3 linked regions of the Ovis aries genome follow. The protein of the gene in region 1 interacts with the protein of each later gene in a biochemical or structural test. Links are inferred from orthologs where the notes say so. Each region holds a gene or a part of one and is shown in the gene's direction. Other genes may lie near its edges. The genes, in order: RAP1A, RAPGEF5 and RAPGEF2.

Region 1 (3,649 bases):
GCGTATTGCCATGTCTCTGTGGCCAAATATAAAATATCCATTTTCTCTATCAATAGGAACTCGGAGGGTATCTACCTTGTGCCTAAAAGAGGCCTGGTAACCAAAAACAATTTTAAGCTTTCTAAATTTACCCACAGATAATATACTGAGAGGACATCCCAGGTGGCTCAGTGGTAAAGAGTCCACTTGCCAAGCAGGAGACACGGGCTCAGTCCCTGGGTCAGGAAGAGCCCCTGGAGAAGGAAATGGCAAACCACTCCAGTATTCTTGCCTAGAAAATTGCATGGACAGAGGAGCCTGGCAGGCAACAGTCCATGGAGTTGTAAAAGAGTCAGACACGACGTAGCAACTAAACAACAGATATGCCAATGAGATGGTTAGAAATGAAGCCCATGACATGAAGGACATGTATGTAAAGTTCTTCTTTCTCTGCTGCACTTAGGACCCACCATGTGCTACATGGGTCACAAGTGTAGTGAAAAAAGAGTCAAAGAATATTTGGTAGCAGAAGGGGGACTCAGGTTTTGCTTGGAAAGGTGGTAGTTAGTTAGTGTCAAAACCAGTGTTCAAAGAACATTATCAAGAACCATAATGCTATGTTCCCATTTCTAAAATTCTCTCTGTACAGTTTTTACTTAGCTATTTCCTTTGAATTATGTTAAATATTTTACTTAACTGAGTTTTTATAATTTTTTTGTTTTAGATTTTTTTAATGTTAATTTTTTATTGTGGTAAAATATACTGTTTTAGAATTCTTATTTGATGAATAACGTTGTGCCTTTTTGCAAAGATGAAATCTGTGTTTTACATGTTTGTCTCAGTTTTGAGTTACAAAGTTCCTTTTCAAAAGTTGTATAAGTTAGGGTATCAAATTTCATGTGTACCTTCTCTTCTGTTTCTGTGTGTTCTCACTCATTATTAATGGGACACAGGCACCTGCTCAGCACCATAACTGGGTAATGTTGTAGGCAGGAGGGATTTGCACCATATGACTCATGACCAGCCATAACCTAATGAATAGTTCTCTTTCTTCCCATGACTGATTCATCTACGAGAGTTCTTTTTTCGTAGGCAGTTACATGCAAATCACTGAACTCTGATAATGTTAATCTCTTTATCCCATGTAATAAACTGAAGATCGAATCATAGATGAAGACGTAGCTGCTCAGTGGCTTTATGTTTAGTCTTATTCTCCCTTCATGTCTCACCTAAGCTAGTGTTCAGACCTAGAAGTAAAACTTACTGCTGTGTTGGTTGGGCCGTGTTTTTGACGTTTGTTGGTCCTGTGAGTTGAGGCACTTAAGACACACCCAGACCATTGAGTATGTTCTTCTCTGTATTGCAGGCGTTTCCTTTTCCTTCACATTTTTCTACTTGGAATTCAGCCATTAGCATGAGTGCACATGAGAATTTGGGGATTATATTCTTAAAGTGATTTTAGCAGATCAGTGTGGTAGAATCTTGTCCATTTTTTCCTATCTCTCCACTTTCGTCTTTTCCCCAACACACATACATACACCTTTTTTAAAGCACTTGGTGAAGCTTATGGGCTTCCCTGGTGGCTCAGACGATAAGGAATCTGCCCGAAATGTGGAAGACCTGGGTCGGGAAGATCCCCTAGAGAAGGGAATGGCTCCCACTCCAGTATTCTGGCCTGGAAAATTCCATGGACAGAGGAGCCTGGCAGGCTACAGTCATGGAGTCGCAAAGAGTCTGACATGACTGAGTGACTTTCACTTTTCACTTTTCTTTGGTGAAACTAATAATCCTAACACATTTTAGTTGGTGGAGGGTAGTTGCTTGCTTATAAGAAGCTGAGTAACAAGTATGTTAGTTGCTTATTATATATTTTTTCCTTTCCACAGGTTCCAATGATTTTGGTTGGCAATAAATGTGACCTGGAAGACGAGCGAGTAGTTGGCAAAGAACAGGGTCAGAATTTAGCAAGACAGTGGTGTAACTGTGCCTTTTTAGAATCTTCTGCAAAGTCAAAGATCAACGTTAATGAGGTAACCAACAGCTGTGAGGCAGCACAAATAAATGCCTTTTTAGCTTCCCTTCTTTCAAGCTAACAGTCAAAAACAACTTTTTAAAAAGAAAAAGCAGTGCCCTTTTAAGCAGTCTTCATTAGTTTATGGAAAACACTAATTCCTAGAAACTATATTCCTTCTCTGTATAAAGTCACTTTGATGGCTATAATGAGAACACATATACTTACCTTGTTGGCAAAGGGGAAGTTTAAGTTAAAGAAAGTGTCTTTTAAAGTCCTGCTAAGCCTCTCAACGATATACCAGAAAGTGGTATGTGAAAATTGGCACATCACCCTTGTCTTACAACAATTAACTATGCAGATGTGTGTAAATAGGTTGTAAAATTCAGTAGAAAAATACAGAAATCAAGGTAGTTACTATAATGAACTTATGTTGTACAGAAAGACGTCATGTAATTTGAGTTCTGCTTCCCTTTGGTGTATGACTCAAAAGGAAGAATCTGTGTGAGTGGATGGATACAGAGCTATAATTCACCCTGTCTCTTAGGCCTGTTCGAGCAGGTGTACAAGGCTTTTTCTGTCCATGACTTAAGCATTCCGCTATCCTGAGAACACAGCTGGGGACAGGAATGCGTAACAAGTGAGCTTGTCTGCCTGAGTGTAAAGGGCCAATAGTTTACTGGATCCCTAAAAGATGAGTGCAGTTCCCCATTGCCACCACCACATCCAAGCAAAATATTAAGAGATTCCCTTGCTTTTGTTAATTTTAACATCAGACTTTAAAACAAACAAAAAAATGAAATAGACTTCTTTCCTTTCCTAGTAGAGCAAATGTTCTCATTTGCCAGTGTGCTTGCCATTTATTTTTAGGACTTCCCTGGTGGCTCAGATGGTAAAGCATCTGCCTACAAGGCGGCAGACCTGGGTTTGATCCCTGGGTCGGGAAGATCCCCTGGAGAAGGAAATGGCACCCCACTCCAGTACTCTTGCCTGGAAAATCCCACGGGCAGAGGAGCCTGGTAGGCTACAGTCCGTGGGGGTCACAAAGAGTTGGCCATGACTGAGCCACTTTACTTTCACTTTCTTTCTTTTGCCATTTATAGGATCACAGGCAGTCAGTCAGAATTCAGCACACCACACAGGTGAAAGTTAAGACTGGGTTAGGTTGTCAGAGTCTTCTGTGTGTTTTTGCTTGCCATTCCTCTCCAGCCTTTGGTCCTTTCGGTCTCTTTTTCTTGACTGAGATTATGGTTATAGACAATGACCATATTATTTTAAACATGTGGCGTGAACAAAATTTAAGCTTGATACACATCCTCTGTTTTACAAAAATAAAGAATGTCAAAACTTGCCTCTTAGGTAAAACCAGCTAAAATAAATACATAAAAATAAGAAATTCACAGATTTTATTTATTCAGTGAGTATTCATCATGTCCCTGTGTGCCTGGCCCTGTGTTAGGCATCAGTAACACTCTTCTGGACAGACACTGGTCGTCCCCTAAAGAAGTTTACATACCAATGGGGGAAAAGTTCTGCTGTGATCTTCAGCAACACTCACTTCTAATTCACTGCCAAGTAATGAAAGGAAGTGTGAAATGCTTCCTGTTTCAGCTTTCCCTGCTGTAGAATTACTATTTCATAGATGTTATCTTGAAAAAA
Region 2 (3,649 bases), on another chromosome or scaffold:
ATACTCTTTTCTTACTTGCTTTCCTAATTAACAGTATATTGTGGATGCCCTGTGTCAGCAAATAGAGTGCTGGACCATCAGCCTTATGGCTACAAAAGAGTCCTTTAAATGGATATGCAGTAATTTATTTAACTGTTTTCAGTGGTTGAAGCCTTTAAGTTACACCTATTTAATTTTTTTTATCTCAGGGAAAATTAAATTAGCAGCCCTTTTTACTTACATTTGTACACTTATCCATTTCTTTTTTTTTTCCATGTAAATTCCTGGGGGTGGACAGTTGAATCACACCACAAATTATGCTCCAGAAATCTATGCTCATTTGGCACTACTTTAGAATGTAAATTTCTGAGGATCAAAGTGTACGTGGCCTACTTCTGATGTCATCTTGATGGAAACAGTGTCCACCTATGTAGTGAGGCCAGATCTCTTGAAGCCACCCTTGTGATTAATGGCCCATCTGGTATCTCTTCAAAGTGACATTAACCCGCACTGCTTGTGGAACTGTGTGATACATTTGTCAGTTTGACCATCCAGTCCTTATCCTCATGGCCTGCCACCAAGTGTATGTAAATCACTTTCCTGGGTTCCCTTTTGCTTTTTTCAGGGCACACCTGTTACTTTCCCTACACATGTTCTTTTCTTCCTACGTATACAGATACTTGTAGATTTTTTTCAAAAACGTGCTGTAACATATTTTGTGAAAATAATAAATGGATCTCTTCATATTTTTACTTGCAACAATGCAGTATTCTTTCTTAACTATTTGCACCTATTCTGCTAAGAAGTATCAAGGCAAAGAAGAAAATTCAGACGTTCCTTGTCGGAAACGGAAGGTCTTGCATCTTGTTTCCCAGTGGATTGCTCTGTACAAAGACTGGTTACATGAAGATGAACATTCAAAAATGTTTTTAAAGGTAATGTAAAACTTCCAGTTATTCAGTTACTCTTTGATGCTGAATGACTGATTTTATTTTCAGTTGTGCGTTTCAGTAATCTCATTTGTATGTTACAGTCCTCTAACTTGTTTGTAATATTGAAGTTATGATTCAAAGTATTTGTTTGTTTTGACTTCTGAAGCCAAATATTATTTACATAGTTAGAAAATTTTAACTTTAAATAATTCTATGTGAATAAATGTAGAAGGCAAGTTTTAAAGTCACTCATTTAAGGTTATTTATTTTACATGTCATGAGAATTTTGATTGCAAATGAAATAATTCAGGGAGGTTAAATAAAACATACTTTAAAATTTGATACTGCCTAATATGTTGAGATGTATTATAGGTTTAAACTAACCAGTCCCATATCTACAATAGTGGGATAAAACATCATTTTTATCATATAAGAACATATATATTGACAATGTATACATTATGAAACTTTTTCATGACCTGGTGTATTTTGAGACATTTAAAACAATCATAACTTATAAAATTGATGCTAAACCTAGATTTACATTTTAAATTAGGTAAGCTGATACGTGTTTCTAATCATGAGTAGGCTGCCGTGTCTTTTCAACACAGATGATTCTCTGGAGACAGTTTGTAGACAGCTGGACTCTTTTAGCCACCAAAAGCATGTTAGCTGTGCAGGTCAATTCAGATAAGGGGTGCAGTGGAATCCGTGCGGGGAAGAGTTCTATTTCAGAAGAGGCAAGTGTCTAAACTGACTTTGTCTTCATGAAAGAAGTCATTTTGATTTCAAAATTAAAATCTCTTTAGACATCCAGTTAAAAACTGGTTTAAACCAAGTCTCTGACTAAACTATTGTTATTTTCAAAACAACTGGTTAGTTTAATTCAACAGATTTCTTTTTCCTTCCCAAATGATTGCTGCTAAGTCACTTCAGTCATGTCCAACTCTGTGCGACCCCATAGACTGCAGCCCACCAGGCTCCCCCGTCCCTGGGATTCTCCAGGCAAGAACACTGGAGTGGGTTGCCATTTCCTTCTCCAATGCATGAGAATGAAAAGTGAAAGTGAAGTCGCTCAGTCATGTCCGACTCTTAGCGACCCCATGGACTGCAGCCCCCCAGGCTCCTCCATCCGTGGGATTTTCCAGGCAAGAGTACTGGAGTGGGGTGCCATTGCCTTCTCCAACCCAAATGATTGTGTGGCTTTTATTTCTAAAAATACATTGTAGAACAGGCCTGGGAATTTTGAGTAGCTCCTACCTACCCATCGCCCCTAAGAGTTTTGTGGCCCCAGAGAGCCACACAGTTGAGCAAGGGGCCCTAGGGTAGAACCCCCACTCAGGAGCTCTTTGGTGCCTGGTTTAACCCCTTGCATTGTTCTGGATTCCACTTATCTCTCTGATCAGGTTACCCACTGTTTGAGTCTTAATCCTTACAAAATAGACACCAGACCAATTCACCTGCCATTTTCTGCCCCCACCCCACCCCACCCCAGACCATATACAGGAATGTGCTGGATGATGTCTATGAATACCCAATCCTTGAAAAAGAGCTGAAAGAATTTCAGAAGATACTTGGAATGCACCGTCGTCAGTAAGTGTTTCATTTTCCTCATCACATATAGTAAGAGAAAGCAGCAACACATATGACAGAATTGGAGGTGTCTCAGAAAGATCCTTTTGAACATTTCAGATCTGGGATTTATCTCGATTATCTCGATTTATCTCGATTCATTAGGTTTCCTAGTAGTAAATAAGTATTTTGTTTTTATGTCTCAAGATGAGTGAACACTAAATTAAGCTTATTGGCTATTTTTTAAAAAATCCTGTTCAATATGATAGGAACCAGTTGAGCCATGATAGTCTGGGTGGATAAAAACAATTATTTAATGAATTATTATTTATTTTTATAAGTGTAAATATTTAACTTGTCATTTCAGGGTTCATAGCTATCTCTAATAGGATAGGAAAAAACGTTTTATAAACAAGTCCCAGCAAACCAGCAAACCCAGCAAAACAAACCCAGCAAAATGGCACATGTTTAAAGTTCATTTTATGGATTCCCTGAGGTTTCTTTATCAATTTAGAAAAATTGAAGGGAAGTACTTACTCTGACTTTTGTCATGTCCAGGTATCACTGAGGTGTCTATCATTAGTCTTTCAAATTGCTAATAGCTGATTTTACTCTGATTTACCACTAACTCTTCTTCATAATTTTGGTAAATGAAAACATTGAGTCATTGTTCAGTTTTCAGATATACCTGCAAAGGTAATCTGAAGGGAAATATTATTCTCTGATTTACAATGTAGTTTCTACTTTTTAAACATAAAACACATCTGTTGTCAAGTTGTGATAAACATATTAAGATTTCAGCAGTCACAAATGGTGCTTCTCATAGAAAATGTTAATTCAAGCCTTTCACACTGTCAGAGACTTCAAGCCTGACTTGTATTTAGTAAAGGAAGATCCTGTGCAGTGAAGGCTATATAAATAATTTTAGGGTGTAAACAAATCGTGTGTAAACCTTTGTCCCAGGCATGAAAATCACACATTTAGAAGTTCAGAAATGAGCTACAGGTTGTTAATAATGAATGTGATGAATTTTGGTGGTCGTCTTTTATCATCACATTCTACACTGTAAAAAATTTCTATCGCCTAAGACTAATATGAAAATATGAACAAGCAAATGAAGCAAAAATGAAAAAGAAAGAAACATTTACATCAAAGTAATACCCTAC
Region 3 (4,084 bases), on another chromosome or scaffold:
GCGCTGAGACTCGTCGCCTCCCCGAGGCCAGGTGGAGCGGGGCCCCCGCCAGCCCCGCCAGGGCGCTGCCAGCCCGGGCCGCCGGGCCACCCGGCTCACCTGGGCCGCCGAAGGTGCCGCTCGCCGGCGAGGGCGCGGCCGGCGGGCCTACAGGCTGGGGGCTCGGGGGCGGGCCCGGGCGCAGGACGCCCGGCCCCCGCCGACGCGGCGCGAGCCCACTGGCCGCAGACCCGTCACTCACTCTTCACCATGGTTGCAGCACAAAGCGACCGGCCCCGGAGGCCGCTTCCTCCCTAAGGAGCCGCGGGGCGGCGCGGAGGCGCAGGAGGAGGAAGAGGCGGGGAAGAGGAGGGGAGTCGCCGCTGCCCAAACACTCTCCGGGGGGCTGCGCGCGACGCCCGCCGCCGGGAGTCCGGACCCGGCTGCCCACGGCCCCTTCCCTCCGCGCCCTCAGACCGGGAACAAAGTTGCCGAGAGTCAGGCGGCCGAGGGCGCAGCCGGGGGCGCTCTGGCCGCTCCGCGCGCGCCAATGGGGGGAGGCGGCGGCGGCGGAGCGCACGGCGGCTGCCGGGGCGGCGGCGGCGGCGGGGCGGCCCGAGGGGATGCAGCGGCAGCCGGGGGGCTCGGCGGAGCTCAGTAGACAGAGCTCCGGCGCGGCGGAGCCGGAGACCGAGGCGATTCAGCTCCGGAGCGCCCGGACCTGAGACAGTCCTCAGACGGCGGCCGCGGAGCCGGAGTGCCTTCCGGAGACCCCGAGAGGAGGGGGCGGCCCTGCGCCCGGAGGAGCGGGAGGCCCGCGCGCCCCGGCCTCCCCCCTCACCGCGGCTCGAACTCCCTAAAAATAACTCAGGCCCGGGAGGGCCGGGAGGAGCCGCCGCCGGCCCCGAGAGGAGCCGGGGAGGCGTGTCGATCCAGGGCCCGGAGGGAGCCTTCCCGACCGCGCGGCGCAGAGGAGGCGGAGGAGGCGGAGGAAGCAGGAGCTCCCGGCTGCCGGGCGCCTCGGGGACCCTCGGGCCTCACGCCCCCCGCCCCGCCGCGCGCCCGGGGCCCCGCCGCCCGGCCGCCGCCGCGGTTTGGCTGGTTGGCCGGAGGCGGGCGGGCGGAGCGCGCAGGGCGGAGGCGGCGGCAGCGGCGGCGGCGCTGGGCCGGGAGGAGGCGGCCGAGGGCGCGGAGCGGCCCCGGCCCGGGCCGCGGGGGGAGATGGCGTCCTACGTGGATAACAGCTTCCGCCAGGCGGTGATGAAGAACCCGGCCGAAAGGACCCCCCAGGTGAGACCCGTGTCGGCGGCGCCCTCCCAGTCCCCACGCCTCCCGACGCCGTTTGCCCCGCGCACCCGCGCCTCCCATTAGGTCCCCAACTTCCAGTGGCTTCATCGGGTCGTCCTGGCGTTATTTTCCCCTCTCTTGGGTCTTCTTGTTTTCGCTGCCCTCTCGGTACTGTCCTGCTCCCGCGATTGTCCGGCGGGGCAGAGAGGTCTTTCCCGAGCGTCCCGGCTTCCCAGCCGCTCGCTGGGCCTGCGAGTCAGCGGGGGTGACCTCCCCTCGGCCGTCCTTCTTGTCCCACCGGTCTCAGTGCTTCCTTCCTCCGCGAGCCTATGGCCCCTTCTGCCTTCAGAGTTCTTGGGTGTTTGCAGAGGTGTTGAGGAAACTTAGAGGGCTCTGCGAAAGACAAATTCGCGGTGGCCTTCTAAAGTGAAACGTTGAGATGTTTGTATATTTACTGTTTTGCTTTTTTTGGGGGGGAAAGGATGTCGCTTTCCAAGGAAGGGAGGAAGAAAGTTGGATAGCTAGGTTACTCAGACAGAATTGCAGATCAGGCATGTTCAAATACTAATCCCCACCTCCTCCCCCGCCCCCGGGAAGGGCACCCTGCGGATTCTTCTGGTGTTGCACAACCTTGTCAAAATTAGGTAAGTTTGTTAACCTTTATACGTTTCGTTTACCTTCAGGCTTATTTTTCTCTGGCTTTAAGTGGAGGAATTGCTGATGGTGTTGGATCTGGTCGTCTCTAGTTGGACTAGAAAGGGGGAGATGTATAAAAGTGTGGTGGTTTGATTTTTTTTTGCTTGTAGTTGCTGACTGGATAATGACGCATGCGTTGGGATGGTGACTCCAGGGGATCCTGCTGCCAACCTTCTTAAGACAAATAAGCCCTCCTGATCCTTGGGACCATCAGACATTTAGGATCTAGTGCTTGAAAGAGTGGCTTCGCTTGTTAGGTGTTGGATGCCATCTGTTCACATCCAAATGCTCTCCTTCTCTGCCGTTGACGGTTGTTATTTAATGCGGGGAAAAGAGGATAAAATAGACTCTTCCACCGGCTGCCTTTTGGGCAAGGCCCAGGAATGGCACCTGGTATCGTTTTTCATTTTTTTTTTTTTTCTGATGTAGCCGTCACATCTGGGGAGTGTAGCTAGAGTGCGCATATTTACCAAACGTGTGGAAGATGGGTGATAAATTTTACAAGGAAAATTCAGTTCACACTGTCACCGGAAAGTTCCCGTTCTAAAGGATTACTTTACCAAAAACAAGGACTGTGCTGCTCAGGTCCTGTTGCACTGCCTCTCCTGTGCCTTTTCCACCTACTGTTTGTTTTGCGGTTGGCAATCACTCAGTCCTCTGCATCTGAAACTGTAGGTTCTCAGCCACAGTGTGATGGAAAAGCTAATTTCAGTGAAGTGTTTCAATGCCTTTCAGTGTTTGAGGTGCCAAGTGAAATCACACATGCTGAGAATATTAGAACTCAGTAAGGTGGTCAGAAAATGATGTCAGAGGCCTTGGGTGGAAATTAGAGAGGGGGAAGTGGTGTGTTCGGTTGGTTGATTAGAATAGCAATGACTCAATACCTACTATCAGGTGGTGGTGGTGGGGGTAGTCGGTCACCAAACAAGCCTGAAAGAGGCAGAATGTCCACTGTGACAGTGCGTGGATTGTGCCAAAGAAATGAACTGTTAAACTTTCCTGTTTCTGTGCCAGCTCTGGAGAACAGAGTGAAAACAGACCAACGTAGAACTTGGCCTGAGTCAGAAGTGGGCCAGTTGGTACTGACACCAACAGTGTGGAAGCTTCACTGACAGCCTGAAAGCAGCATATCTATCTCCCTCCCCCGAGCCCCTCCACACACACCTTCACAGAACAAGTCACCTTCAAGAAACTTAGCAAACATTTTGAACTTTCATAAGTGTCCGCCCTATTAATTTTAAAGCTCAATGCAAACCTCCATGTTTATCATTTTAAAGAGAAAGTAGTTGGTAAGGTGAATGCTTCCCATCTTTACCTGGCTTGTTAAAAAGAATTACTCTTCTTCTAAAAGTTTGAAATTTACTCAGAAGTAAAAAAAAGAAAAACAACTTTGGTATCAGGTGCCTTTTCTGTTGAGTGCTTTGTGAATGCAAGGACTGGAAGTTTTCCTGCACTCTCTTTTTTCATGACTACTTGAGAGTTAGAATTTTGTAATATAAAAGCCAAGTTATTAAACCTATGAACAGACACACGTGAATCAGGAAAGTTTTGATGTTCTTCCTTCTGTTTTTCAGATAGATTTATGAGGAGTTTGTATGATTCTTATGACAAGCAAAAGAAAGGCGCTTTAAGAAAAAAGATAGAGGAAAAAAACATATATATATATATATATATATATATATATATATAGTTAAATTCATTTCCTTTTATTTTTTAATCCCACCAACGCAGTCTCCTAAACCCCGAGAAGACATACTTTTGTATCAGGTCAGTCAGTTGCCTAGACGTAATCATGCTGTCACTTGTATAACCTAAAAAGTTAGCTAAGAAGTTAAAGAGGTTTTGGGGGCAGGGAGAACCTCAGTGCAGACACAGGGACTTTGAAAATTATAATGAAATTAGGAAGCTTTTCATAGCCACCTGGGAAATGGAATCCATTTTTCCCATTTATTTAGGCACTTCAATAGAGGGGGGATGGTAAGGAGAAGCAAGCAAAATTGTCACCCGAATTTTTAGCCAGATGTTGTGCATTCAGATTTAAGGGGCTGTCACTGTTTCGCCTGATATTCTGGGAGGAGGAAAAAAAGCTATCTTTAATCCAGTATGTATCCAGTATTGTGTG

The links.
Region 2: of the proteins of RAP1A (region 1) and RAPGEF5, one has a biochemical effect on the other in vitro, tested with the Homo sapiens proteins (2 studies listed by BioGRID). The link is inferred for Ovis aries from reciprocal best matches to the Homo sapiens genes RAP1A and RAPGEF5.
Region 3: the proteins of RAP1A (region 1) and RAPGEF2 form a complex in vitro, tested with the Homo sapiens proteins (2 studies listed by BioGRID and IntAct, with this or other methods). The link is inferred for Ovis aries from reciprocal best matches to the Homo sapiens genes RAP1A and RAPGEF2.

What each region holds. Positions count from the first base shown.
Region 1 is NC_056054.1:89,126,629-89,130,277, forward strand, and holds part of RAP1A (ras-related protein Rap-1A), read left to right. Parts: intron 1-1,865; coding exon 1,866-2,009; intron 2,010-3,649. UniProt on the Homo sapiens protein: Counteracts the mitogenic function of Ras, at least partly because it can interact with Ras GAPs and RAF in a competitive manner. Together with ITGB1BP1, regulates KRIT1 localization to microtubules and membranes.
Region 2 is NC_056057.1:31,870,365-31,874,013, reverse strand, and holds part of RAPGEF5 (rap guanine nucleotide exchange factor 5), read left to right. Parts: intron 1-769; coding exon 770-914; intron 915-2,406; coding exon 2,407-2,504; intron 2,505-3,649. UniProt on the Homo sapiens protein: Guanine nucleotide exchange factor (GEF) for RAP1A, RAP2A and MRAS/M-Ras-GTP. Its association with MRAS inhibits Rap1 activation.
Region 3 is NC_056070.1:40,130,748-40,134,831, reverse strand, and holds the start of RAPGEF2 (rap guanine nucleotide exchange factor 2), read left to right. Parts: upstream 1-1,142; 5' UTR 1,143-1,200; coding exon 1,201-1,269; intron 1,270-4,084. UniProt on the Homo sapiens protein: Functions as a guanine nucleotide exchange factor (GEF), which activates Rap and Ras family of small GTPases by exchanging bound GDP for free GTP in a cAMP-dependent manner.